Schizosaccharomyces pombe: one gene and its partners. Changing the gene in region 2 together with the main gene of any one other region gives a genetic interaction. Each region holds a gene or a part of one and is shown on either strand. Other genes may lie near its edges.

Evidence for each region.
Region 1: mutations in vrp1 (region 2) and ppr8 together harm fitness more than expected from each alone (negative genetic interaction), as found in Schizosaccharomyces pombe (one large-scale study listed by BioGRID).
Region 3: mutations in vrp1 (region 2) and met8 together harm fitness more than expected from each alone (negative genetic interaction), as found in Schizosaccharomyces pombe (one large-scale study listed by BioGRID).
Region 4: mutations in vrp1 (region 2) and sec72 together harm fitness less than expected from each alone (positive genetic interaction), as found in Schizosaccharomyces pombe (one large-scale study listed by BioGRID).

What each region holds. Positions count from the first base shown.
Region 1 is NC_003423.3:4,393,097-4,397,256, forward strand, and holds ppr8 (PPR repeat-containing protein Ppr8), read right to left. Parts: upstream 2,352-4,160; 5' UTR 2,341-2,351; coding exon 2,161-2,340; intron 2,116-2,160; coding exon 850-2,115; 3' UTR 514-849; downstream 1-513. Other genes in the region: DNA-directed RNA polymerase I and III subunit Rpc40, read right to left, coding at 2,957-4,003. UniProt on the Schizosaccharomyces pombe protein: Mitochondrial RNA-binding protein involved in mitochondrial translation. The cox1 mRNA is one target but it is not clear if ppr8 has a single or multiple targets.
Region 2 is NC_003423.3:3,053,262-3,059,347, forward strand, and holds vrp1 (verprolin), read left to right. Parts: upstream 1-2,003; 5' UTR 2,004-2,213; coding exon 2,214-3,012; intron 3,013-3,064; coding exon 3,065-3,195; 3' UTR 3,196-3,498; coding exon of another isoform or gene 3,499-4,799; intron 4,800-4,814; 3' UTR 4,815-4,956; coding exon of another isoform or gene 4,957-5,069; 3' UTR 5,070-5,130; coding exon of another isoform or gene 5,131-5,195; 3' UTR 5,196-5,542; downstream 5,543-6,086. Other genes in the region: SPOM_SPBC13E7.07 (uncharacterized protein), read left to right, coding at 1-71; RNA polymerase II-associated Paf1 complex protein Leo1, read right to left, coding at 344-1,442, 1,633-1,823; transcription factor TFIIIB subunit Brf1, read right to left, coding at 3,499-4,799, 4,957-5,069, 5,131-5,195; rbd1 (rhomboid protease), read left to right, coding at 5,871-6,086.
Region 3 is NC_003424.3:5,359,824-5,363,589, forward strand, and holds met8 (siroheme synthase), read right to left. Parts: upstream 1,752-3,766; 5' UTR 1,715-1,751; coding exon 1,680-1,714; exon of another isoform or gene 1,509-1,679; coding exon 749-1,508; 3' UTR 533-748; downstream 1-532. Other genes in the region: sum1 (translation initiation factor eIF3i), read left to right, coding at 1-530; protein Csi2, read right to left, coding at 2,085-3,766. UniProt on the Schizosaccharomyces pombe protein: Catalyzes the conversion of precorrin-2 into siroheme. This reaction consist of the NAD-dependent oxidation of precorrin-2 into sirohydrochlorin and its subsequent ferrochelation into siroheme.
Region 4 is NC_003424.3:4,386,467-4,394,456, forward strand, and holds sec72 (Sec7 domain-containing protein sec72), read right to left. Parts: upstream 6,028-7,990; 5' UTR 5,959-6,027; coding exon 490-5,958; 3' UTR 376-489; downstream 1-375. Other genes in the region: kti12 (elongator complex-associated protein Kti2), read right to left, coding at 6,433-7,106, 7,252-7,423. UniProt on the Schizosaccharomyces pombe protein: Guanine exchange factor that acts as an activator of arf1 at the trans-Golgi net-work and is thus involved in vesicular budding and traffic between compartments of the Golgi apparatus.

The DNA of each region.
Region 1 (4,160 bases), 1.3 Mb from region 2:
GTTTTATAGACATTACTTTCAAAACATCAAATTTTTCTATTTATATGCTCTTTTTAACAACCACCATACCTAAATGAATTACTATTTTAAACTTAGTATATTTTCTAGGCAGCGTATTTTTTGCGAGATAAGCAGTTAAAATTTAAACTAATACTTTAATGTAAAGCAAAATTTGTGATTCATAGAGTACAATAAAGCACTTTGGTCTCACATTAATACAATGACATACACCGACCCCAGCTGTTTGAGTGCATATAAAGCATTAAAATATAGTGATAATAATTTAACTTACAAATTTTCCACTAGCAAGACATACCTACAAATACCGGGAAAAATATCCTCTAATATTCGTTTAAAGCTGTCTTTAACAGCATAACTTAGCGCGGTTTAAATCCCTTACTTTTCGTACTTGTCATAAACCAGGCAAAGCTTCTAAGTATTTCAAACTATCCATATCTCTTGAGAATAAACAGGTGTTTTTAGATGCTAAACTATTAAGACGAACACAAAACCTGTATCTGGAATAAAAAAATATATATTTAATATAAAAGATGGCTATAGCAAAAAACAGAAAGGAGTATGTACGTTAAGGAAAATTAACAAATATCAAAGAGGTAAACAATTAAACCCATCCAGGTAACTTCATAAAACGAAAATCAAAAATCACCACCGAAACGTTCCTAAATAAAATAAATAACTCAATTTGTGAAAGTGTGGGACATATTAAAAGATGGGAGTGAACACTTTTGAACTTTAATGCATGCAGGTAATATGGCTGTGATGTACACATTTAATCGTAATCTCGTTAAAAGGAAGAACTATATGAGATTATCCAAAGTGCAAAAAAATTTATGGCGAACGTATATGTTTACCGTATTTTGATAGCACCATATTCAGAAATTGCAGGCAACTTTGTTGATCATCTCTGTCAGGTTGAGATAGAATGCAGTCCTTTAGGAGATTTATTTCTTTATCTGCAACAGAAATGGAAATAGCTTCAAGACGATACTCAAGATTTACCCAAGCCTGCGAAATTTGCTCACATGTGCTTGGCAATAAACAGTATGCTTTCAATAATGACCGATAAGTGACATGAGTAGGCTTTAACCCGTACTTGTCTATCATATCAAATCCAGCAGAAAGCCATTTTACATCCTTTAAACGACTAGCAATAGAGAACAAGGTGTTGGCAGTACTAATGGATGGTTTGAACTCCTTTACATCTGACATCTTGTTGATAAACGTAGTGATAAAGTCGGTAGCCTTTTTAATATCCCGATCTCGTTCAAATTGCTTCATTGAAAGACTTAAAATAGCATTTGTCAAACGAGTGATATCTTTGGGTGACACTGAAAGATAATAATCGAAAATAGTTAGCAAAGGATCTAGAGAATGGTGTGCTTCAAAAAGTCTTTGAAGTAACCAAACGGTTGTATAGATCGTTGGTAGATTTCTTTCGTTAAGATTAGAATTTTTCAGATAAGCAGCAGCTTGATCGACGAGACCTTTGTTGACAAACACTGAAATAATGACATCGGAGTGAAAACTTGTTAGTCCGTTAAATTGAACTAAAGCTTTATGAGCTTTACTGCTAATACCTTGATCTTTGAAAACAGTATAAATCAAATACACAGCAACCAATTCATTTACAACTTCTTTCCCTTCAAGTTGCTCGTGAATGGCTGAACCTATTTTTCCACACTGTTCAAAACTGGCACCTCCAAGTATCTTAGCTTGAAGTGCTGAGATGTAGAGGTTGCCTAAAACTCGTTCATCTTTAGGTAAAAACTCCATATGGCTTAAGCTCATATCAGCAATTAATGAAGCCTTGTCAAAAAGGTTTAGGTCGATATATGATTGGAGCATAATTCGCCAAAACCTAGCAGAGGCAATCTCTTGGTGTTCAATTGCATATCGAAGTATATCATCAAGTTTGTCGAGAGTAGCTTCATCTACATTACCTCTCCCATTGAGCATTTTAATCCGATCTACCAAAAACAAAATGTATCTATTAATGGTTTGACTATCTAAAATGCCAAATGGTTTCAGGCTGCTGAAAGTAGCAACGGTTTCCGTATACTTGCGCGCCTTCATTTCATCATTTAATTGTTTCAGCTATTTACCTGTTAGAAAAAGGTGGAAACATCAGCCTTTACATACCAAATTTTGAGAATTCTGCCTTACATGTTGTTGAGTTTCAGCGGTGAATGAAGTTTGTAACCCAGAATGTAAAGGCGGAGCGGTGAAAAGGGTACGCGTATTTTGTAAAAGTGCATCTGACACTTTAGCATTACTACTACGCAGCAATTTCCGAAAAATTTGGCTCCCAAATCCTTGCATGGTATACGCTTGGGGTAAGTTTGTTGTTGCTGAGTCATGTTGTGGCTACTCTCTACTCAGTCAGGATTGATCTAGAAAAGATCAGCAAAATGGCGTTTCCTGAATATGTTAGAACTGATTCTATTTTATTTTTCTTTTCCTATAATAGTTCAATCATGTAGTAACAAAGCAACTTAACTAAGACTCTGCTGCATGCTTAGGCACATTCTTTGCAAATTAGTTAAAACCGGCATTTACAATATTTTTAAAATTTATACAATCAGTCTAGTTTAATTTAGGTAATTTAATAGATAGGACTTCAAAATCCCTGTAAAAATATAATGAAAAGTAATTTTTTCAGTTGCATCAATTAAAGGCGTCGCTTTCATATAAATTCTCAAAGCATTTTATAAGGACTTTCAAAGGATGGCAAGTAGTGATTGAAAACCAACACTTCTTTTTAAAAGGTCTACTGGTTATCAACAAAATACATGTCTATGATGAATTAAATTTAAAATTAAAGAAAGGACAAAATGTTAATATTGAAATATAGAAATCAATAACTTTCAAAAGTATATTTTTTAACAGCGTACCCAATTATCCAAAAGATTACATATAAAACTAATTTAACAGACATTCAGTCAGAAGAAATATTCTGAAGACTAGACTTTACGGCTAGACATTTCGATTTTAGGACTGCAATGCTTTTAATGAACAAGACATCGGGCTTCATAATACCGGTGCTTTCAACAGAAAACAAATAATGATCGCGTACGCGGCCTAATTGCACCTTATCTGCAAATTCGGGATGTCTCAAGCATTCGCGGGATACGGTGTCTTTTCGAACGTCTGCTACACGGGCTTGTTTTTTACCATCAGGTCCTTCTTCAAGCTCGATGACTCCTTTAGGGAAGCATTTTTGAAATTTAACTGCATCTTCACCTTCAATAGGAGACAAGATATGTATAGTAGGCAATAAGCGGTAGGAGGCAGTAGCAACAGGAGAAAACTTAGCATGGTCTTGTCCAATACCTAAGATTGCATGAGCTTCTAAATCGATTTCCTGGCCAGGACGCAATTTTGCAACAACAATATCTGGGTTGACTACTCGTATAGGATTGTCAGCAAATCGCTCTTCCTGTCGACCTTGCGGTTTCCAAATTAGATCACCCGAATAAACCTCAGAGTTAACGTAAAGTCTCTTTGGATCTTTTTCATCTGTAGCGGCATTCTTATTAAACTCGCATTTCTTATTAAGGGAAAAGACAACAGTATCGTAATCAGTATGAGTTGCCTCTTGTCCTGGCAGAGGATGTTGAAACCATTTAAACATGTCAGGATCAGCAGATATAGGTACAAGACCTATTCTGTGAGACAAAACCTCATCTTGTATTATGCTCGTATTGTTTATGATATACACGAACTCAAATGCAAGAGTTGGGATCTCGGCGATTAAAATCCTCCTAAATGCATTTGCAATGGATGCATCAATTCCAGAAATTTCAAATACCATTGTTTCTTGATCGAGAGACGTAATCGAAACTTTTAAATTTTTTTTAAATTTATCAAGATCCCAGATGTTGTCTTCATCAAAATAATAACCTGGAAAATCTACACTTCCTACATCTGTAACACGATCAGAAAGGACAGAGATTTCTGTCCTTGATCTGTCAACCGCTGCCATTTTTAATTTTATGAAAAAAACGGTGAGAAGTTGCAATATAAACTTTTAAAACCTTTATATGCGTAAAAATTCGCTATTGTGTGGTAAACACGATAGTGCGAATAAAAGTAAGACATTGCAAATTAACTGACAATAGTAGTAGAGCACTTGAAGAAGC
Region 2 (6,086 bases):
CTGCTTACTCTTATATTAACAACGGTCAAGCAGGCTCTTCCAAAGGTAACCGATATGATAGTTTGTGGTAGGAACTCATATCACGCTTTAATGATCACAGAAATACATCTCAACACCTAATCCGCCATATTTGCTTTAAAAAAAGTAGTTTTATTTTATATAGTTGCTCACTACAATTCTCGCTATTGTACATGTGAATCCCATTGCGTTAAAAATTAGACAAGATATAAGAATAATGTACAATTAATAAACATCTTTTAAATCAACGAAATAACACAGAGACCATACTTCGCAAACAAACAAATTGGCTATTTACAAAAATTGAATTACAAGCTGTTTGGATTTATTCGCTATCGCTCTCAACAATCCGACGCTTCACTCTTCTTTGTACAGAACCATCACCGACAGAAGTCTCTGTAACGGTCTCGGATCTGTCAGTTTCCACTGCGCTAGGAATTACCTCATCGTCTTCATATTTATTAATAGTAGCTCGTGCTACACTTGCTTCTTTATCCGCATCAAATCCTTTTATATCGGAGCCAGCTCCAACTTCTTCTTCATCCTCTTCATCTTCTTCTTGTTCCTCTTCTTGTTCCTCTTCCTCTTCCTCTTCCGCTATAAAGTCACCAAGGTCATCTTCTTCATTTTCTTCCAGATCCTTATTATAACCACGATATTGACCAGCTCCTTCTTGTTTAATTCGTTTTAAACGATCCATACGGTCACTGTCAATGATTTCATTTTGTTCGCTATAAGTAGAACGGGGACCGTAGAAGGAAGAGTAATCCTCTTCTTCTTCTCCTGTTCCATTCTGATAATTGTTCAATTGCTTTCTTTTCTCTAAACGTCGCCGAGCTCGACTTCGTTCCTCCTCATATTTTTCAGCCTGACGCTTTAGTAGTTCTGGATCCTTTTCAATAATAATTTCTTGTACGCTTCGACTAGGAACCTGGACTGTGGTGAGACGCATAGATGGCAATTTTGATCTTGTAGCAGTGTTAATGGCTGAAGGGAGGAATGTAAAACTGCTTTTGAAGGATGTTTGAACTCTCAGTAAATGTTGTGCTTCATGTGAGGCAGTAACAAAAGTTGGTTGAGATATTAATTTATTTTGGGTATCATATATGTCGTTACCAATGCGAAGTGAATATGAACCATCAGACCATTGTACAATTTGCGCATTCGATTGATAGCTTCCAGACGGCCCCAATCGCCAGCGGACAGTATTATCAACTTTATGTTTTATTCTTTGACCCCAATGCGCGTCGTGTTCTAATAAAGCTGCATCTGCTTCGGCTTCCGCGGCGTACTGCTCTGGATCGTACGGAGTCTGTTCCACAGAAAGGAAATTTGGAATATGAGCATGAAACACGTCATTACTAGCAGAAGCTGGTGATTTGAAATTGGGAACAGCGACTTCAAGGACTTTCTTTACAGGAACACTAACATTTGTTAGGATGCATAGATTTAAATAGCTTGCTATAGTAAAAGACGCTAATTTTTGATTTTTTACTAAAAAGCCTCATGAAGCGATTTATTACTTTCACCACTGTGGCAGCTGTATAATAAATACACATTTAGAACTACCATCGGCTAGAATCAATTCGCTTCATCTATAAGACTGCAACTTACTCTGCTTCAGGGGCTTCAGTAGCCTCTTCTGTATTCGAAAACAAGCCGTCATCGCTAACGGCTGTTTCACTATCGTTTTCTATATGGCCATTTATAAGTTCATCTTGCTGCGAAGTATGATTGTCTTCATTCTCACTAAACAAATCATCTTCCTCTTGACCGTTGCGGATGTCTTCTTTAGAATCCGACATTAAATCTATTTAAATTCCTCAAAAATTCACCAGTCTAAACTTTCCAGATTGGTTCCGGTCAGAATACGTATGGTGTTGTACTAAGATGCATTAAATTGAATAATCACTAGAAGGTACAATCCTGTTACTTGTAGTGCATGGTGGTGGTAGAAAGCTTAGGGTAGCTCATAGTTAAAACCCATACCCGTGTTTCCACTTTATATTTTGAGTTATATTTATTATTGTCAAAGTATATAGCGAATATTTTTTGTAAAATCATTTAAAATCTGATAATTTAACTTTTACTTTTATTGTATTGTTAGGTGTACAGGCGAATTATCTACTATTTTGATTACAGACCTCAAGCTTGTTAAGATTTATTTTTGATTTTTAATTCTTCCTTCTTATAAAATGGCACCTGCACCACCGCCTCCTCCTCCAGCACCAGCGCCTGCTGCTGCTGCTCCGGCCCCCCCTCTAATGACCGGAGATCGATCAGCTCTGCTCAATTCTATCCAGAAAGGAAAGAAACTAAAAAAAGCTACAACGAACGACCGATCGGCTCCCGTTGTCGGAGGAGGTGTCGTAGGCGAACGTAAATCTAACACTCCAAAAAGCTTTGCTGCTCCTCCTGTACCCACAGGCGCACCCTCTTTACCGACTTCTTCAAATAATACTCAGCAAGCAGAAGAGAGACCTTCCATGCCTGCATTAGGAGGTTTATTTGCTGGCGGCATGCCTAAGCTTCGTCATATTGGAAAGTCAAGTGCTTCAGCCGCACCACCTTCCGCTCCTGCTCCTCCTACTCCACAATCTGAGTTGCGTCCGCCAACAAGTGCGCCCCCTCGACCTTCAATTCCTCCACCATCTCCTGCATCTGCTCCACCTATTCCTTCAAAGGCACCTCCTATTCCATCGTCTCTACCTCCACCTGCACAACCTGCTGCACCGGTGAAATCTCCTCCTTCAGCTCCTTCATTGCCCTCAGCGGTACCTCCGATGCCACCTAAAGTTCCTCCACCTCCTCTATCTCAAGCTCCTGTTGCTAATACATCATCACGCCCTTCTTCTTTTGCTCCACCAGCAGGACATGCACCTAACGTTACATCAGAATCTCCTAAATTTCCTAATAGAGGTCCATCCATTCCTTCAGCTTCTGTTCCTCCAGTTCCTCCATCTTCTTACGTCTTGCAGCAGCGACCTAATCGTGGTAAGTTTGCGATCATTAAAAGCATTATTTTTTTATTAACACAAAACTCTAGTTGATGATCATGGAAGATTCCACTTTAAGGATGATAGTTACTTACCAATTCCTCATCCCTTTCTTGGAGTCCCTAAAGTTTATCGGGGTGGTAGTGGCACTACGGTCCCTTTGAATCTCTCTTCATTTTAACAAATCTTTTTAAAGCTGTGTACGATTAATCTACTACCAGTGTTTAGTTGTTAAACACAGAATTTTCTTTCGTTAGATGGATACTAATAATTACTCAGTGATAGAAAAAAACTAAAAATTCATGCGGCCTTTTTTATGAATATTAAAATTATTTATAAAGATTCATTAATCCTTATAAATAAATCGTTAAATAAACTCTAAAATTAATAAATTAATGTATAAAAAAGGATTATCGTACAACAAAAAAACGAATGTTCTTAAATAGCCCCAAAAAACTCCCAATTGCCCAAATTTAGTAAAAAGTTACGACTGCTCTTCGTCAAATAACATATCCAAAGCTTCATAGTTGATTTTTTTTGAAAAAGCTCTTTGTTGCATCATTTCTTTTGCACTTTCAGCAGCAGTATCGGCTATTCCATCACTAGTGCTATCTCTAGGACGATATCGTCTTCTTTTACGAGGTTGTCGGACAATTCCTTTTTTTAAATCTTCTTGGAGTTTTAAATTTTTCGCCTCTTCCTCAGCTAAATAATCTTTATTCAACTCCATCCAAACTTGAGTTTTAGTCAATATTTCATCCTTGTCAAGCAAAATATCTTCAATTTCATCATCATCAACGTCTTCTAAGGTAACTTCTTCCTCCGAAAATTTAACGTTAACTTGTAGAGAAATCTTTCTAAGTTCATCGCCCTTAAGGGTTTCAGTAACCTCTTTCCTAATTTCTCTTTCATCGGCCTTCAAATGCACAGGAGTTTCTTGAGATTCAACTTTTACTGTTTGCGAAAGCTCTTCAGACTTAACTTCGTTGCCATCAAAATCCGGGGTCCTTTTAATAGGGGACATGTATTCTTGTGTGTGATCAATGTTTGAAACTTTTTGAGCACCGTATTGTTGAAACTTTTGATTTTTAGTAAAGCTAGGAGGATCGCTCTGTCCTTCCAGCCAAATGTTTCGAAAGTCGGCGATTGAAAGATCACCGCTCTCAGTTAATTTAAACTCATCAAGGCGTTTTTGAATAGTGATATCCGCAACTTTCACGACATGAACCACTTCTCGTACGCTTCGTCGAAAATTATTCATTCTTGCTGCAATGAGTAAGCATGCACCACAAATTCCAGCTGGCCGACGACCAATTTGCATCCAGTCTCTATTCATTCGCGCTACCAATCTGATAGCGTCGTTTGCGACACGATGTGTTTCCGGTCCAAATTCGAGTAAAGAAGCAAATCTACTGATATATAAAGACGGATCTAAAAGAGGTAAATTAGGCCTTAAAACGCGGCACAACTTGAGAAAAGTAGACCCAAGCTTAAAAACGTTAATTTGCAAAATATCAGAAAAATCGATTAACATATGAGACGTCTTAGATATCCGGCAAACAATATACAAACAGGATGCAACAACGTATTGCGATCTCCTTCCTTTTATAAAGTTGTTGTTAATTGCCAGTGTAAAGTAGCGAACTGCTGCTTCGATATGGCGTTCGTTAAGTTTTAAAGCAATTGCCAATGCCGAAATTCGGCGACGTCCGTTTGCAATGGTAAGTTCTCTGGATTCTACGGATCCTTGATTTCTGTAAGGGCCACCAAAAGTCCGAGCATGAGCTAAAGCTGTGTTAGATATAAGTCGATGAAAAATATGGACGAAGAGGTGTCTATTAGTAAAAGATCAAACCAAAATTTAACACAGACTGAACAAAAAAAGGTGACTGCATCAGAACTGTAAAACACCGCATTGCTGGATGATTGCCTTCTAACTTACTTTGATCATTACTCACAAGAGAACCCTGAACAACAGCTGCACCAGTTGAAGCCTCTCCGAATGTCACTTCCGAAACAATTGCATCTTGCTCGACGACAACACCGCATTGTGTACTATTCAATGGTTAGCAGTCAATTGCCACGTTAAAATTATATAATAAAAAAAACAACTTACCAATATGTATTTCCAGAAGCGGTATCAGATTCAAAAGTAGTTGAACCGCAATTTGGACATCCCATGGCGAATAACTGAAAACACTTGGGCGTTAGCTGTTTGGGAAATGGTATTTATCAAAGATTAAGTTTAACCCACATGGAGTACTTAAGTGGGGGGGGGGGAAAGAAATATCACTGCAAATATGCATACTAGCATATATTTTAAAGGTCTACAGAGAATTTAATCGGGTTTAATTGTTTGTTATTTTATTTTGTTTTTTTGTTCTTTTTTAATGGTTTGGAAATGAAGAGCGTTAAAATAAAATTAAAAATAGTAAATTGAACTTTGCTTCTGTATATGGTATTTGGACTTTTTAGTTTAATATATATTATAACAATTTTTACTAGTAAATTCTCTAGTTTATCTCGAGCATTGCAAGTTTAGCAAATGATTAATGAATCGTGACTATATGGTTCATTAAATCTTTTTATGTTAATTAACTTGTTAAAAACATTGTTTGGCATATATATTTATATAAGATTATGCAAGTAACGTAATTAGGAGAATAAAAAGTAAGACAGAATATATAAAGAAATAACTTAAATTGCTTGAAGTTAAATAAATATTGGTAAAGATCTTAAGGTACTGTGAGAAGCGTAAGCGGATTCTTATTTCTCTATCTTAGGCAACACTAGCGTTTCTATGCATACAACCTCATAGTCCTTACTCACCTTTTCTCACATATATTTAATACGCAGATGAATCGTTTGAATTTTCAAAGTTTACTCTGGAAATTTGGACAAAAAAGGTTTTATTACAGACCATGGATCAGAATTGAAAATATTAAACCAACACCATTATGGAAACCGATTACATTTGCTGTTGGTGTTGGTTCTGCCACCTTTTATACGGCCAATTATCTCGATAAAAGAAGAAAAAACTACCCCAAAAGCTCATACGGATTTCCAATTCCC
Region 3 (3,766 bases), on a different chromosome or scaffold from region 2:
CTGGATGGTCTTACTTGAGCAAGTTTCTCTTTACTGGTCATGAAGATGGCTCCGTTTCCAGATACGATGCTATAACCGGAGAATTCGTTGAATCTAAACAAGTTCATAATTCTGGTTCTACTATTACTGATCTTCAGTTTTATCCTGATCGTACTTACTTCATCACTTCTTGCAAGGATACGACTGCTAAAGCTATTGATGTTGATTCTTTTGAAGTCATCAAAACATACCTTACTGATACGCCTCTTAATACTTCTAGTTTTACTCCTGTCCAAGACTTCGTTATTTTAGGAGGTGGTCAAGAAGCCCGTGATGTTACTACTACTGCTGCTAGACAGGGTAAATTTGAAGCACGTTTTTATCATGCGATTTTAGAAGAAGAGTTAGGCCGCGTTAAGGGTCATTTCGGTCCTATCAACACAATAGCTGTCCATCCCAAAGGAACCGGTTATGCTAGTGGTGGAGAAGATGGTTATGTTCGGGTGCACTTCTTCGATAAAAACTACTTTGACTTCAAGTATACATTGTAGGTTAATTTTATTCAAAAAACTGTTGATAGTATAGTAATGGACAACGGAACTTTTTTCCAAAGATGTATCATTTTCGTTTAGGGAGCATTATATGAAAAATAACCTTCTATGAGTACAAGAGTTTTTTAATAAATTCCATTCAAAATTCAAATGTTTTAAAGTGAAAAGTAATGTAATTGTCATATTCCGTAAAGCAACTAACTTATCAAACGCTTCTTTTAACGAGCTTTTGAAACATGTTTGAGGAGAACAGCCCCAGAAATTATAATTGCTCCAAACCATATGTAGTTGTCTATCTTGCTGTAGGCTGGAGTCGTTATTTCTCGATAACTAGGTGTTTTTTTTGGGAAGTATCCCAAAAGTCGGTTGATGAGATTTTCGTCGAGCATGGCAAGTTCCTCCAAAGACCACAGTTCGCAAATCTCAATCATCCATCTCATTCTTTTGCGACTGTTTTCAGGTTCGGGAACAATGTCTCGTAATTTTTGTCGTAAAAGGCCAGTTTTTTCCAATGCCATACCAGTAGCTGGATTGATTGAACTTTCGATTTTTTTTCGTATTAAACTGGCAAGTTTTGGACCTTTACCATTGGTGCTAACCATAATTTGTAGAGGGCCGTTACGGATTTCAGACCCAAAGTAGAAATCACATTCAGGTGGAATATCCGCCGCATTGACCGGGATTTTTTTGCTTTTGCATAACTTATAAATTTCGGAAGACAAGCTGGGATCATCTATGGCTGTAAGTACCATGTTTACATCGTCAGACAAATCTTCGACTAGAAATCCCCTGTCTCGCCATTCAACTTGCTTCTCCTGTATTCTCCAAGCCACTTCTTTACAAAGACCAGCTTTTGGACTTACAACGATAACATGGGCATCCGCATTCAAAACATGCAATATACGCCCAGCTGCCACAACGCCACCTCCAACAATTAATACTTTTTTACCTTGTGCACGCCAAGCAATAATTAATGATCTAAAGCTTAGATTAGCCTAAAAATTACCTTGAGATACATCAAAAAACTTTGCTAGCTTTCATTTTGTATGCTTTGCTAATTTTTCAATTCTGTGTAGATGAAAGTTAAGATACTAAAAAGCTGAAAATGATTTATAGAGCCTTGTAACTTCATAAAGATGCTTGACTTACCCACCAGGCTGCACAGACTGATATTTTGAAGCCATTATTCAAATTTTATCTTAACCAAGTGTAGGTGTTCCTGTATACTTGAGAATTATAGTATCGCCAATTACAATTCGACATTCAGTATCTGCTTCCCTATACGGGTTAATAGTTGGGAATCCTATTACGCGTATACTATTCGTTTATTTAAGACCTAAATTTTCCAGTGAATTAAAACTACCTTGTGAATAAAATCCCGAGGACGTGCAAATTTTTGAAACTATTTCATAGCACCAACTAAGCATATTCCTATACATCATAGATTAATTAATATGCTAAATTTATATATTTTTTTCATTGACAAGAAATATCCATACAAAAGTAATAGATGAAAGTGGCTCTTAGACTACTTAGTCGTATTTAAATAAGACGTTAAAATTCTTCATTAATCTCCTTACCATGTATACCAATGTGGTATAAACAAATTTGCGACGTCAAAGATTCATTTTTTGAAAACGCCCTGAACACAAATGTGTTAAAATAAGCTTCTTCCAGAAGGCCAGGTGTGTCCGAGAATTTTGGAAGATAGTAATAATTTACTTCGAACACCGAAGACAAAGAAACAGGAATCGTGGCAAGCAAAACCAAGTTGTTCATGTTGCTTAAAATTTGATAATTGATATCATTGATAAGCCCAAACATTTGGATTTCACGCGGGAAATAAGAATCATCACCATGTATTGGAAAAATTAGTGAAATATGTCGCACGTACATTGGTCGATTTAAACGCACAGAAACCTGTACAGTATCTTCGTAATTACACCAATTACTATTGATGCTTGTGTCAAGTAAAGCCGTCGGTAGATTTGCTTTTTTTCCCCAGTAATCCCTTAAAATGTCAGAAAATTTAGGCTTAGGAAATGTCCATCCGTAGTCCACGACAGCACCAACAACTTTCAAGGCAAAGTCCGGGTGATCAGCAACATTTCTCTGGGAACAAGAATGTTTTATGTATTTTTCAACTCTTTTTTCTAAGTTTGAATTGAGTTTTTGATGAACAGATTCCTCAAGGTCTTTATGATAATAAGAATATGTGGCATCAAACTGCTTCGCCAAAAGATTTTTAGCAGCATCTTTTTTTAAATATAAACCGGAGTTTATGATTGAAAAATTGGTGGTCGATCTATTGCCATAAAAAGACTGTGATGAGTTGTGTCGCTTTACAATATACATAGCTTCTTTAGAGCTTTGAGCAATGTTCCGTAATATATCTTTCAAACAAAGAATATCAAGATTGACACTTTCGTGTAAATCTTCAATGCAAAGTAAATTAAAAATAGACTCTCCATTGTTAATTCTCAGAAAGCCCCGATACGAAGGATTTCGCAATAAATTGTAATGTTCGGCAAAAGAACAAATGGCTTGAACACTCTTATTGACTAATGAAATCGGGATGTTCCCAGGGTGTTTTTCGGAAACAGGCAGATGCGACACTAGGTATATGTCTTTTTCAATAAAATCTAGGTAAGTGTTCAGTAGAGGGTTAACAGAATCATTTATATCCTGTATTTTAAGATCATAAGTACTCATTAAATTTCTATCCCAAAAATGTAATAAAACATCTTCAGGGCTAATTGGATTTTGATAAAGAAGTGTCTTTGCCTCTGTAAGGTTTGACTGTAGCTTTAGCAATGGCATTATAGAATCACGTTCATTATATGTTGAAGAGGAATTACCAAATTTGGATTTAAACAGAGATTTCGCTTGTTCCAAGTGTTTGCCAAAACTTATATTAAAATTTGAAGGAATGAACCGAAAAGGAATTCTGTCTACGAAATCCTTATAAAAAAACTTAATATTTACTCGTCCATCATTAGGTATTAGTAAAAACAACGAGAAAAGCAAAAGAAATGAGAGTAAAAAGCTAACTTTTCGACGGTTCAAAAGAAACTTTATGATGGAAAATACAGTGCTGATAAATTCTAAAGCTTGCTTACAATAGTAAACGAAGAAAAAGATCGACTTTTTAAAGAATGTGTTAGAGATATTTCTAGATATGTTTGAGTTGACATCTGACTGCAGGCCACGGCTCAAAGGCGAAGGGTCGTTCACAG
Region 4 (7,990 bases), on a different chromosome or scaffold from region 2:
TACGCTGTAACTTCATGCTTCCTGATTATATCTTCCAAATCACTGGCTCCCTTTATTATTTTGTCATGGCAAAATTTTGTGAGTTTAATATGTTTTCTGTAAAGTAAATTTACCATTTGTACCTTGATGCTTCAACTCATAATGTACTCGTCTTTACTTTAAGCTATTCTATATTTAAAGGCCGCAGGGACATGAAATGAATAATAGAAGAGGATATTTCACGAAAAATCTTTAATTGATCGTTAAAAAAAAGGTCTCTGGTGTGTGTGGCAGTAGCATCTTCCTTCTGGCGTTGGATTACTACAAATACTGATTAGCTTACATGCAGAATATTAAGAGGTTGTTCAAGTTTTGAAAAAAACTTATTTAAAAGAAGGGCAATTTTTTAGAATAAAAAAGAAAGTTTACCAATAAGTTATCTAAAATTATAAAAGGATTATTTGTTTTACTAGAAGCTAATTTATTGAAATTAATTGAAAATCACTTTATTTATTCCTGTTGGGCATTCAGGTTTAATAGAATGTGACCCACACGATTAAAGTAATTTTTAAGTAGTTCTCTAAGTTGATCATCAAGGTTCTCCTTTGCAATCATAGAACAACAAGAAAAGTAAAGAGTGTGAATGTTTTCGGAAAATAATTCTAAAGGAAGATTCAGTATACTGTCCAGGATTGTAGCAATGACAGGCTGCCATGCAGCATGGTTACGCGTATGTTTCTCAACAACCAAGGAAGCATACATATCCAGCATTTCGGCACAAACCGGAAAAAGAAGTTTATGAATTTTCTGATCCGTTTCTGTTTTACCTAAAGGGTCTCTGGTTTTTAATAAGCGGAAGAGCAAAGTGATGTACAACAATGCACTAGCCGTTTCTTGTCTCAATAAATTAGGGAGTTGCTTCATAAATCCAACGTTCAAAAGCGTAATACGTAAAGATTTGTCTTCATTAAACTTGCGAGCAAACTGCCATGAGTCGTAAATAGCCACAGTTATTTTCAATACATGTTCATGGGGGATATGATTAAAAACTTCCTCGTTATCTAACAATTCAGCAACAATACTTATTAAAAGTAGTTGAAGAATACATTTTCGAATCATTGAACGGAACTCCATCTGTTTCTCAGGGGAAATTGAGGATGTCGAAATTGAACGAGAAGTTTCCGGTAGAGAACCGCCTCGCTTATGGCTCAATTGAGTATTTTCATTTTCGGAGTAAACAGGGGCTCCTTGCCCATTGGAAAATGTTTCTAGAAGAAGAAGCTGATGAGGGGTGGTTTCCTTGAATAACTCAATAAACATATCAGCGACCAGATTCCAATCTTTAACTTCAAACCTATACGCATTTCCAGAAAGTAGCTGCTGCATACAATTTGTTCCTATGCGAGAAAGTGTAATATTATCTCTACAAATGCAATTGCTAAATAACCATAGATAACCTTTTAGCAAATTGTGAAGTTTGTCAAAACGGCGTGTTAACAAAGTGACGAGACTTCGTAACGCTTCAACAAGAGTAGTAGATTGCCAAGTCCTGATCTCCTCATCCCTTAACATAACAGTCGCTTCATCCGCTTCTGGTCCAAATATTGAGAATATCGGGAATATAAATTTTCGTGAAACAACTTCCCAAGTTTCTTCAGTGAAATCATCAGACTCTTCTAAGAATATATAAAATAAGTTTTGAAGAGCTCTTGACCTTACTTCCAAGTCTTCAGCTGACATTATTATATCATAATATGCAAATAAAACTGGGAAAACATATTTAGAAAATGTCTCATTTACTGAAGGCTTGGAACTAAGTCCTTCCTTTATCATAGTTGAAAGACTTGAATAAACTTCTCTAATAATTTCCAAACTTTGTAAAGAGATTTTCTGGTTTGTTCCATTTTTGCATAATTCAGTGAAGGATATCAACATATCTATCAAACAATTTTGCTGCATTAAAGTATCATAATGCTCGGAAAAAAGATTGACAAGGGTATCAAAAGTCATAGAAATTAATATTTCGCTTCTAGCCTTAGCCGCAAATGTAAAAACGCCAAACAAAGTTTTCCATCCAGATTTTATTTTGGAAATTTTAGCTTGAATCATTTGCTTAACACATTGTAAAACAAGTTCTTTGACTTCTACTACGGTATCGGAAGCCATAACGTACTCAAATGGCTTAAGGAATTCTTTCTGAAAGGAAAAGAGAGACAACTCCTCAATTTCGAGAAAATGCATAGAAAGCTGCCTCAGGGAATCCAATGCAAAAACAGCAACATGCCTATTCTCATCACTACCCACCATGTTGAAGAATCTACCCAAAACGTTCCAAATTGATGACCATTCCACTCTAATCCTTTGCATGTTATAATAGGATATCTCAACCAGCTTTTGTAGACTATATAGCCTTGGCTGCTCCAAATCACTAGAAGATGTTATTTCATCCCAAGAAACTTCACATAATGCTTTAAAGAATGATACTATCGCAGAGCCAGAAAGAGAAGATGTTTGGGTAAATATTCTATCAATGCTCAACACTACCTCAGTGGACATTAGTTCTGAAACTGCCTCTGGGGATAAAGGTTTAGATAGTGAGCGAGTTCTAGTCGAACGAGAAGTACTTCCACTAACATGCCGAATTGAGTTTGAAGAACCAATGTTCACATTCTTTCGACGAACACGTGCATTTATAACATCAGGTACTTCTGTTTCATCGACACCAACACCAATCAGTTGCACGCGTTCTAGTTGACTTATAATAGTAAGGATATCTTTCCAAGAATCTTTCAAATTATTACCTTCGGTAGATGCAATTCTCAGTAATGTTTTTATAACCATAGTATTACGTAATTTGATTTCACTGGTAGAATGCAGATTAGTAAAATTAGTCAGAGTTTTTATAAAAGCGTCTCGAATAAGGTCAAGGTCAAAGAGACAAGCTATACGGACAACAAGCTGAAATCCATCAAGACACATATTAAGTTCATTAACATAATCAGAATTTTGTAAAGGGTTTGAAAGAGCAGCAAGTATAGGCATCCAAGTAGCCTCAAGCATGGGACCTATATGTTCAAAATGAGTAGCATTGTAATAAACATTTGTTTTTTGTGATCCATGTTTCTGTTGATACAATAGCTTTTTTAGCACACTTGTAGCCTTATTAGCCATTTCCTCCGAAGCTTGAATACAAGCTACTCTTTGCAGATCTCGTCCATTAGAAGTAAATGTGGTGAATCCACTAGATGTGCTGAAATTATTCATTAAAGGAGCAATCGCTGCGAGTTCTTGATCATCTTTCATAGCAATTTCATTTTTAAGAATGTCATCATATACAAAACCAAGATAGTCTTCATCTAAATCAGCACCGTCATTAATTCCACGATTATTTTTAATGAAGTCTTCTTTTGTCATTTTGTTTTTAATACGAGGAGAATGCAAATCAGTATTAAGCAATATTATAGAATAAGCAAGAATGTAGGCAGTATCAGCATTAGCGAATGCAGACGGATTCTCCTTCATATACCTTTCGGAAAATTTCAGCATAATTCGATCAATTTTTTGGGCTTCACCGGGTAGTCTGAAACACTGCAATAGACGACGTAAAGCGTCTACAAACTTTAAATTTATAAAAGATAAACAATCAATAAATTCATGCATCACGGAAATACTTTTCTCATCCCCTTCTCCTAAGTAATCTCCTAAAGTAGTTTTGTCAATACCATCAGCACGAAACAGAAATTCAGCGATAGCTTTAGGATCATTTATGTCAACATATTCATTTTCTGAAAGCATCTTAAGACCTCTAGTAGGTTTGTAATTGAACTTGTTTATACAAGTCCGTAATAGCTTCTTTCGTTGTTTGTTTGATTCAAATTGTGAAGGATCTGCAAGTGCGATAGAACTACTGCTATGGGAATTTGCTTCAAACGATTGTTTTCCGTTATAATAAGGATTCGTCACAGGAGTATCAGACCTGGAAAGCGCATCATAATCTCCAACAAAACCTTGCTCATCCGTTGACACACCTCGGCGAGATAAATAAAGACCACTTTCGGCCCAATTTGATAAAGATTGCAAAATGTCAAGGACGCATTGCAAAGTCTTTAGCTTCAATTGAAAATCGCTAAATGTGGTAAGTTGAACCACTTCGGACTTTAACGAAGCAGAGTTCGTATTTAGAAAAGGGGTACTACTCCGTTCAGAAGATTCTAAAGAAGGAAGAATTTCTTCAATATCTTCGGATATCGTTTCCGAAGGACCATTGGTAGTAACTTTTGAGATTGAAAACAGCAATTGTTCGAAAACGTTGGTAGTGGAAGAACGATCACAATCGTAATTTATATACAACTCTACAAGAGCTCTTGGATTAAGACAGATTCTCTGGATGATTAACAAGGTATGGAGCTTCTGATTGTAGGAGGTGTTCTTGAGGTCTAACATCGGAAAATAAACTTCTCGAAAAAACACTTCAATTTCCTGTTTGAAGTGGGCACGCAAAGAAAAAACCATAAGATAAAAAATGTCACAACAGACTTCAAACACCTGGGGAACAGGACTTACAGCATTGCGAGATAATACTAGGCAAATATATTGACGGGAGGCATGAACAAGGGTCATTCCTTTAAGTGCTGGGATACCACGAAATTGGAGAGTAGGATCCATGAATAAGTCACTATTTTTTTCTAAAATGCGATATATAAGATGGAGACTAATTAATTTCGCGCGCATAGCTTGAGATCTGATATTACTGACTTTATCAGGCGAGGTTTGTCTGACAGCAAGTCGACACATGGATCGGAACACTAAAAACGCGTCTTGGATAGAGGAATTCTCAACACTGGTGACAGCTGGGTCATCTGCGTCAACTTTAACATGATCTAATGATGAAGTGCCAGCAGATGCCATAGAATGAAGAGTAATTTTCTTGTCAGGCTCATCCTCATCGTGAACCCAATTTTCCGTCACCGATGCATCTTCTTCCGGTAAAGCAGATGTAGAGTTCGACTGAGTGTGGCTCGCGCGTAATCGTTCATAGACTACAGTGACAGCCTGAGTCAAAGAAGCTTGAGCAACTGACTGTATAGTATCACTATCCCCGAGAAGAAAGACATTAAAGAGTTTACGAACAGAATTCAATAATATCGCTCCATGAAGCATACTATCCTGCTCAGAACATAAGATAAAGGCAGATAAAGCTTTTACAACATTCAATTGCAGATTTCCATCAACAACTTCATCATTGATACTATCGCATACCATATCAACCATACACTGTAGAAGGGATTTAGGGGGCCCAAATGAGGCAGGTGTTTTATCTTTTGAAGAAAAATAGGCGAATGAAGCAAGTTTAGAAATAGTGTCTAAAGAAATGTTCATAACTTCATCTTGACTGGATTCAAAGCAGTACTGAAATAACTCTACTATCAAAAATTTGTCAAACTGACATTCGGTTTGTAGAAGAGGTTTTAGTTGCTCCATTAAATTCTTCATCTTCTCGTTCTTCATACAAACTTTTATTTGTATAAGCTGCTCGATGCACTTTATAAGCACTACATGAGTGGATTTTTCCAAATTGGTTAAACCTGATTTTTGCTTTTCCAAACTGGCCCTCGATGCAGCGTCAGGTACAGGCGTCGCGATAGTTTCATTGGATTTTTTGTCGTCTTTCAAGTCTTCTTCTTGATATTTCTGCTCGATTCCTTCGGGACTCTTTTCGTTTTCTTGTTTCGCTGGCGACAACGACGAATCTTCTGTATTTATATCAATACTTACCACAGCATCGCCTTCTAAACTTTCAGAAGCAACACGACCGAGATCCATACCATTTTCATCATCTTCGTTGTCAGAATCATTAATAATTTTAGTAACTGATGTTGTTCCAACTTCTGGAAGATCTTCGTGTCTGTCATGTTGCTCATTCACGGAGTTCATAGGCAGAGCAGGCATATTGATCACAGGTTCAGAGGCATCCTGCATTTTGGCATCGGTCACGTTCAAGCCAATTGCCGTCTAGACGAGCCAACTTTTAGCAATGAAATATAAGGCGGAGTATGTCTTTGCTAAGTGTTTTCGGCCTTAATGTGTCGAACGTTAGATCTCGGTTCAATGTGCTACTTATATAAAGCAAACGAGCGAGACTTATAATAAATTGTTTTATTACAGTATGGATTAAATAGTAAACATTATAACTAGATTTATACAATATTCGTTGTTTTACTGAAACTTTTATTGTCGATATTGACCGTGAACGTTTTCTTATTTCTTTTTTACAGGACAGCATTCCTTAAACTGTAAAAGGATTAAGGAATTAAACAAAATGTACGATTTCTACCATTTTAAACATGTTCTAAAAAAAAGAAACAAACAAAGTTAAGTATTAATATTAGGCTACATTTTTTCGTCCCCTTAAAAATCCCAAAAAAAAATATCATAAAGTTTAAGAAAAGGATATCAGTCCAAGGTTTCAAATTGACCATTTAAAAATTCGACAAACATTTCCTTGAGAACATTGGTATTATATGATTGTTGCCGGTTAATTTGGATAAATTGACGGCGCAATCTTTGAAGTAAAGGAAGAGATACTGTAACACTGGGTAATGCGATTTGAAGTTTGCTCCCTGGTACAGTAATCAAGGAGGTATCGTTGGAATTATCCAGTATAAGCATGATTACGTCTTGAGTAGTTTTATCTAATTCATATAAATAGTTGACTTCAGCTGGAGGTTTTACCATTGTAGCTTGGTTAGGCTTGACATTTTTGTTATGAATAAGAACTGACCAGATGTCATCGATAGGACAAGAAGCATCATCGTGCAAGACAGTAAATAAAGGGGAATCCCATCGTGTCATTCCATTCGGTTCTTCATAACGAAACATTAATTGCTCAAGAACATCGTCAGGATACGGCTGTTCCTTGTTACTATTGAATTTTCGACATAAATCTTGAGGAACAGCAACATGAATCACACAATGAGTTGTGTACATAGACTTTGATTCACAATATAACTGGTATCGAAATCCTTTTATGTAATTCAAGGCATCGCAAATTACGAATGTAGATTTTGAAAGTTCACGCTGAACAGCAGAATAGAGAAGGCCACGAGCGGCCTTTTCGTTCTTGGACTCTAAGACAAATTAGTTACCAGAATTACGAAAAATTGCATATACGGATTCTCCCATCATCTAGAGTAGCTGGGCACAATCTGAAGCCAAAAATGAATTGGCTAATTTCCAAAAACTAAATCATTAAAGATAACTATTTAAACATACCTCGATATGTTTCTTTTTCAATGTTTAAACTCTCATCGTTTATTATTATCACCCGATAATCCTTTGTATTGTCGATATTTTGATGAATTCGATCTTCTAAAGCCTTTTTAAGTTCATTTGACCTCGTTGTTTTCCCTGAAGATGGATAACCTGAAACAATTATTAATGGCATTTTCTTTATGTTCTACAAAATAGAAGGTTGAATAAAATCAGCCGTAAAACATATGTTTGAAAACTTCCAGCTTTTTTTTGATATATTTTTTCATGAATTTAACGAAAATTACTAGTTCGTTAAACATTAGTAAACAGTTAATTTTTATCCTTAATTTGTATTTCGTAATGCGCTCAATTTCGGTACTGACTTATTACTTACGACTAGTAAGTATTGCTTAGGCTTAAAAACACAGTAATTTCAATTTGCGGTCTCTTTAATTTAATCTTGCTTCCCTTTACCTTATCAATTGTTCTAAAAGAATTAAGGATTAACACTAGTAAGACCCCGGATTTTAATCGCTAAAAAAACATGCACGCCTTCTACGCAATCAGGGTTGTTCAATTTAAAAATAGTAATCATTTGTTGAAAGATTTTAAAGGTGCATAGGACATCAAGAAATATAAGCTAAATGCAGTTGATTAAAAGTTAGAAAAGTATCTACTTATGCCGCCATTAACATGTATCTGGTAAAATGCGACTAACTTATAACACATGTTGTATACCAGTCCAATGATTAATTTAGTA